Nothobranchius furzeri: one gene and its partner. The protein of the gene in region 1 interacts with the protein of each later gene in a pairwise test. Links are inferred from orthologs where the notes say so. Each region holds a gene or a part of one and is shown in the gene's direction. Other genes may lie near its edges. The genes, in order: kifbp and dok2.

Region 1 (4,514 bases):
CTCGCGCTGATCTGCGGCTCTCCCTCGCGCTGATCTGACTTGCTCTGGTCTGCGCGCAACGGCGGGCGGGAAGGGGGGGCGCTTTTGGAAGAGTTGTGCGACACAACGAATCGATGACGCAATTCGTTGCCAACGCTTTTAGTAATCGATTTTCATCGAATTTATCGATTCGTTGTTGCAGCCCTAGTTGCAGTGACCCTGGAACATTTCAGCGGCCTTCCCGCAGTCCCGCCCAGGCTGGGAAAGGAGACAGAGTTGAGCTGCCATAGCGACGGCACATTCCATATATCTTCTGAGGGGGGAGTTTTCGTTGGAGCCTTGCAGGCTCAAGGGCTCCAGATTCCGATTAGAAATTGTTTTGGGGCTAGACAGAGATAACTTCCTCTCTGTCTTACAGTTTGTTGGTCCTCAAACTCTCAAAATCCCAATAATGGACATTAATCTATCCCAATCCGTGCTGATTCGTTCACTCTCTCCTTGATGGCACCCTTTTGTGCCAATGAAGGAATCTCGGCCAAAGTTCCAAGCTTACGATTCATCTCGACAATTATTTGAGTCTGTGAATTCACAGCGCGGTGCAAACCATCTCTGAGCTCCGGGATCAGGCCAATAATCCTCGACAGCTCGTTAATTTTCCGGTAAGCCAGGTAGCCTCCAAGATCAATGAGCAGGAAACCTGACACCAACACCACGAATACCCACACGTCTTCAGAGTCCTCCACAGACAGCTGAGATAAACAAATCAAGTTCCACTGTTTCCAGGAGTCCATGATGTGTCCAACTGGGTCTGTCCCAGCGGGGCATCCAGGAGCCCCTTCTCCTGTTCTCATCGTTGAAAAAACTTTATCAATCACGTTGAGAGACCAACTGACGAGATCCATTTAAGTGAATTTCAGTTTCCAGAAAAATGCAGAAGCAGCCATGCACCCAGCACACACAGACAGACAGAGGGCCTTGAGGATAACATATGGAGGAGAGGAGGAAAAAAAGCGTCTGCACCCTCCAAGAGCCGGAAGAAGAATGTTCTAGAATGTCCTAACGTTTTAGGGCACCTCTTAGCCAATAGCGATGGCAGATTTAAATTCAAATGTAGTGCAGTTTTTACCTGACAATGACACAACACTGACAGTTTCAGGCAGAAATTTTAAATTTTAACTAAAATGCACTAAAGTGCTAAACTATTGACTACATGTGCCTGCAGCGCGATTACATACACATTTATATAGTTTATCAGAAAAAAAGTTGATTTGGGGTGACTTGCTCTTTAACGATTTTGGGGGAGAAAAATAAAATCTAAATAAACTCTTGTTTTGGTATTCTTTATAATAAAACGTAGAATTTTCACAGGTTTAGAAAAAAGTAACCGTTTTGTTTGAGGTCATTTGATTGTAGAGACCAGATTCGTCCAGCAGGCGGCAGTAATGCAACAATAAAAGGACCCAGAAGAAAACAAACATGGCGTCCTTCCATAGTGATGAGTGGAGAGCTATATGCGACAAATTCAACAACGCCCAAAATCTCACCGAAGTAGAATCTAGAAATGACCCAGAGAACGACCCGTTCCGTTCCAAGTACAAAGCCCGGGAACTTCTCAGAGAAATCTATTGTTCACTGAAGAGTTTAGAAGCTGGTGACGGTGAGCAGGACGCCGACGGCGGAGAGAGCGGGGACCAGCTACCGACGGAGCAGCCGGTGGACGACCAAAAGGAGGAGGGTGTCTTCTCTCGGGGCTTCAGCGGTGACTCCCCAGCGGGGAAGCGAGTGGCCAAGCTCGGAGCTGTGGAATATTTTCTGGGCGTCAACCATGTGGACACGGAGGAGCTGTCAGCCGGGCAGGAGCATCTGATGAACTGCATGAAGCTGCTGGAGAGATGCGGGGTGTCGTCGGAGAATGTGTCGCTGTTCATTAATGTCAGGGTAACGAACGATGACGTTTCATCTGGTTTAGTAATGGCGGAGTTGGCATCATTTCAGGTGTGTGAGTACATAAGCTGATGGTGTGTGTGTGTTTGCTCTCCGTTCCGTCAGAACCAGCTGGGCATCCTCTGGGCTGGCCGAGATGAGACCGAGATGGCTCAAGAGTACCTGGAAAAAGCGGAGTCCATCTACCAGCGTTACATGAAGGAGGTCAGTTAGGTTTTCTGAGCAGCTGCTGGTGCACTCACTCAAACTGTAGCTGATCCAGAACTGTTTTTATTTGGACATTTCATTTGCAGCACGCTTGTTCATCAGGACCACATTGCTCTGTTCCTGTTCTGTCATCACGCTTCTCACGACCCTTTCTGTGTATTTTACGCGGCCAATGAGTCTCGTATATATAATATATAATCACAAACACTGCAGTTGAAATTTTATGAGGTCAAATCCTCCCCAACATCTGGGATTGTTGTGTTTTCTGTGCCTCGTGAAGGATGGGACTCCTCCCACCGACATGACGGAGTACTTTAGTGCAGAGGAGAACCTGCTGACACACCAGGAAAGGATCAAGAGGTAATTTCTGAACCCCAGCTTCCATAAGCATGCTCTGCACGTTTTAAATTATATTTCTCTTCCACCAGGTTCGAGCTGGCCTACACCCACACCATGTACTACCTCGCTCAAGTGTATACAAACCTCGGTGAGTGTGTGTGGCTGAAGTTCTCGTTACCGGGTAGTTTAGATTACATATGGATGTTTCACCATCGTTTGTCTCTCAGGTCAGAAAGAGCGTGCTGCCACCTACTGCCACTGCACCCTGCAGAGACAGTTACAGTTAAACCAGTTCAACCCGATGGAGTGGGCTCTGAATGCAGCTGCGCTGTCTCAGTATTACATCCCAAAGGTACCACTTGGGTGCAACGGGAAATTGTTGACTTATGAGTTAAAATCTCAAAGGATGTTGATTCTTCTGTTGTAAACTTTAGTAAGCGTCTCGCATTTGTGCTGGTGTTCTTCTCAGGGCCGATACATGGAGGGCAGGCATTGCCTTGCAGCAGCTACTGTTGTTTCAGGTTTGGCTGGAGAGGTTCCGTCTGAGGCCGTAGCTCAGGAAAGTAAGAGCCCTCTCATGAAAACATTTTATTTAAACGCCTGTCCCAGAGTCGAGTAAACCGGCGTAGTTTTCACCTCTCCTTGCTTCACCTTGCTTCACCCTGTTCCTCTAGACTTGTTTATCATTCCTCTCTTTGGTCACTGGCACATCCGATCGTCTCTTTCTGTCCGACTCAGGTGAGGCGGAGAGCGAGCGCAGAGAACAGCTCAGACAGAAGAGAGCAGAGATGGCGAGATGTTGGATTAAATATTGTCTAAATCTCCTACAGGATGCTAAGAAACTCCTGGAGGTACTGTTTGTGCCTGTTAACGAAAACCAGAGAAACGGAATAAATTCCTCTAACTGTCAGATCTTCACGCTGGTTTTTAAGTCTTGTATGAAAGTCTTGTGGGTGTTCGTGCAGGACAACATCGGTGAGCTGGATACGGATCGTCAGGATGAGCTGAGGAGAGCGAGACGACGACAGGAGGAGGAGGAAGAAAAAGGGAGGAAGAGTGCTCTGCTGTTTGGCTCTGAAGACACTTTTGATTCTATTGCAAGTGTGGAAGAAAAGGTCTGAGTCACCCGAGTTCAAACTTTATGTTGGTTATTGTGTGGGTCTTTGTTTTATGAGGTCATAAAGCTTTGTTTACATTTTCTTTAAATGCACACACACACACACACACACACACACACTGCGTTAATGTAGTAAAGAAACATGGAGTGGATTAAGTTAATCTCACAATTATGATTTTGTATTTAAAAAATATTACACAAAAAGTGTGTAAAATTCAAGCATGCATGATAGAAGAAATGAGATGTTCGTATCAAGAAATTAAGAGTCAGAAGATGTCGGATATCTGTAAGATAACAAAAGGCCAATGTCGAGCAACCCTAGTAGCTTTGTCATTTTTATTTTTGTCAAATTCCTTCATTTCACTGTGCATTATGTTTTGTTTGTTTTTTTCATTATATAAGTTTGAATGTTTAATATAATAAGAGAATCTTAAAAACTATTAATGAGGACTTTGGGTGCCTTGTCAGTAGGGGGCGCTATTCTATAGATTTTATTAAGTCACTTTGCTGACTGCTTTTTTGTGTTTTTGGTTTGTTTTGCGTCCTCCGTCTCTTACAGGTCATGTGTTTGCTACCTCTGGACTTCACGGAGGCCAGATCGGTTTTTCTGGTGGGACAGAATTATGTCACGCAGGTACGCACAGCAGGAAACCGTCTCTGTTTAATTGACTGAAACTCGTATATTACATCACAAGTAGAGGAACTCTGCAGGAATGTGGAGTTTAAACACCTTACAGTAATTCTTTACCAGCATAGAACATCATTTGTATTTGAAACTATAAATTTGATTTTTCCAATTTTTAAAAAGCACAAGTTTTCTACATTTTTTCAAAAAAGCCTTTTTAAAAATGTTAATTTGTCCGAATAAATAAAATTTATTTTGATTGCAAAATAATTATTTCAAAAGGATTTTAACATTAATATTTAG
Region 2 (2,559 bases), on another chromosome or scaffold:
TCTACGTGTCAATGTCTGTGGCTGATGAGATATCAGACTATTATGGGATTGGCTGCTCAGTTTCATTATGGTTTTTAACTGTTGTGTGTAATTAGTTTATTTTATCTTCGTATCATTTTACTCTCAGTGTGAAATGAGAGTTTTTTTGTTTATTTTTTTAATATATATTATTTCTTTATTTATATATAATTTTTTTAAATGAGAGTTTTAATTAATTAATTAACTAACTTGCTTAATTTAATTTAATTTAATTTAACTTAATTTAATTTAATTTAATTTTATTTTATTTTATTTTATTTTATTTTATTTTATTTTATTTTATTTTATTTTATTTTATTTTATTTTATTTAACTTAATTTAATTTAGTTGTTTTAATGAGACTTTTTAATGCAGATGTAATATCTCTGTTTTTATTCACACTGGGTTACAAAGAGCATGTTTCTTAGGAAAAGGCTGGGAACAAACCCGTTCCTTTTCAACACGACAGCCGGGAAATTGTTCATCTTTCAAAGTTTCCTGAATTCATCTGAATTGTTGAGTCAAATAAAGTCGTCGTTAGAGGAAAATCTGATGTTGGTAGGTCAGATGAAGCTCTGACGTACTCAGCTTTCATGATCCAGTAACGTAAACAGGCTCCTGGATGATTCCCGAAGCTCGTTCCTGACTCCGTGTGTTCTGTCTGCAGGCAGCTGATGGAGTCTACAGCATGGTGACCGAACCTCAGAGCCCTCAGATGATTCTCCACAGAGACATGGACAGCTCCAACCCCCCCCAGCTGGTAGGACACAAACCGTTAGAAGTTCACCTTCACCTGCTGGACGGGCTTCTGTGAACTTTGACCTTCTGCTGGTCTTTGCTGTAGCCATGGTGTGATCGGAATGATTGCTTCTTTCTCTGTTTTCAGTCTCAGCTGGAGCCTCCGGCCGATAAAGTCCTGACTGGAGTCAAAAGTCTGACTCTGGACACTCGAGGACTTCCCGTCCCTAGGAAGAACCAGGTCAAGATGATTTCCAGCTGCCCTCTACCCAGCGCTAGCCCAGAACCTGGATCCAACCTGACCACAGGCCCCAGCTCAAACCCGACCCCTCGCCCCAAACCGAGTTCCAGCCCAAACCCGAGTCAGACGTATTCCCACATCGGCATGTCTGGCGTCATGGGAAGGGACACCAAGAAGGACAAGAGGAGCGTCAACAGAGAGCCAGAATACTCCCTCCCCTTTGACACAATTGCTTCCAGCGTCATGGGTGACCTCCTCCTGGCCTCCCAGCATGGTCTCGGTCTTGGAGGAGAAGCTGGTGCTGACCCGTTGTACGATAGCATTGATGAGATGAAGATCAGGAACATCTTTAAGAGCCCAGCTGACTCTAACAGCAAGGTGGATCACATCTACGATGAACCTGAGGGCTGCGCCATCCCCTCAGAGGAACAAAAGGCCACACCCCCACCATCGGTGTATGACAACCCCGAGGAGATGAGAGGAGGCGCCTGGAGGTGTATGGGTACGACCTCTGACCCTACAGGTCACGAGTACCCCTACAACCCTTGTGTAGACGACTATGCTGTCCCTAAACGAGCCCAAAGGGCTTTTGTTTCACAACAAAGCTTCTCCAAAGAAGAAGAGGAGAAAGAGGAGGAAGAGGAGGAGGAGGAAGAGGAGGAGGAGGAACAATACTCAACATATGATAACGTGATGGTAAAAATGGGTTGACTAGGGGGAGGAGCCAAAGTTCAGACAGCCAACTATTCAGCCTGGAAGTATTTATGTAAAGATATCGATTGGTCCATCAGAACATCTGTCCATGAGAACATCTGTCCTTCTGTCCATCAGAACATCTGTCCATGAGAACATCTGTCCACCTGTCCATGAGAACATCTGTCCACCAGTACATCTGTCCTTCTGTCCACCAGTACATCTGTCCTTCTGTCCATCAGAACATCTGTCCATGAGAACATCTGTCCTTCTGTCCGTGGGAACATCTGTCCATCTGTCCATGAGAACATCTGTCTGTGGAAACATATGTCCATCTGTCCATGAGAACATCTGTCCATCTGTCCATGAGAACATCTGTCTGTGGAAACATATGTCCATCTGTCCACCAGTACATCTGTCCTTCTGTCCATCAGAACATCTGTCCTTCTGTCCGTGGGAACATCTGTCCATCTGTCCATGAGAACATCTGTCTGTGGAAACATATGTCCATCTGTCCATGAGAACATCTGTCCATGAGAACATCTGTCCATCTGTCCATGAGAACATCTGTCTGTGGAAACATATGTCCATCTGTCCATGAGAACATCTGTCCATCAGAACATCTGTCCATGAGAACATCTGTCCATCTGTCCATGAGAACATCTGTCCATGAGAACATCTGTCCATCTGTCCATGAGAACATCTGTCCATGAGAACATCTATCCATCTGTCCATGAGAACATCTGTCTGTGGAAACATATGTCCATTTGTCCATGAGAACATCTGTCCATGAGAACATATGTCCTTCTGTCCATCAGAACATCTGTCCTTCTGTCCTTCAGAACATCTGTCCTTCTGTCCATCAGAAC

Evidence for each region.
Region 2: the proteins of kifbp (region 1) and dok2 interact in a two-hybrid assay, tested with the Homo sapiens proteins (2 studies listed by BioGRID and IntAct). The two-hybrid records come from large-scale screens. The link is inferred for Nothobranchius furzeri from reciprocal best matches to the Homo sapiens genes KIFBP and DOK2.

Annotation. Positions count from the first base shown.
Region 1 is NC_091749.1:53,758,521-53,763,034, forward strand, and holds the start of kifbp (KIF-binding protein), read left to right. Parts: upstream 1-1,418; 5' UTR 1,419-1,455; coding exon 1,456-1,917; intron 1,918-2,028; coding exon 2,029-2,127; intron 2,128-2,410; coding exon 2,411-2,490; intron 2,491-2,558; coding exon 2,559-2,617; intron 2,618-2,696; coding exon 2,697-2,821; intron 2,822-2,938; coding exon 2,939-3,032; intron 3,033-3,207; coding exon 3,208-3,320; intron 3,321-3,434; coding exon 3,435-3,584; intron 3,585-4,145; coding exon 4,146-4,220; intron 4,221-4,514. UniProt on the Homo sapiens protein: Activator of KIF1B plus-end-directed microtubule motor activity. Required for organization of axonal microtubules, and axonal outgrowth and maintenance during peripheral and central nervous system development.
Region 2 is NC_091750.1:36,300,070-36,302,628, forward strand, and holds the end of dok2 (docking protein 2), read left to right. Parts: intron 1-685; coding exon 686-778; intron 779-904; coding exon 905-1,708; 3' UTR 1,709-1,931; downstream 1,932-2,559. UniProt on the Homo sapiens protein: DOK proteins are enzymatically inert adaptor or scaffolding proteins. They provide a docking platform for the assembly of multimolecular signaling complexes. DOK2 may modulate the cellular proliferation induced by IL-4, as well as IL-2 and IL-3.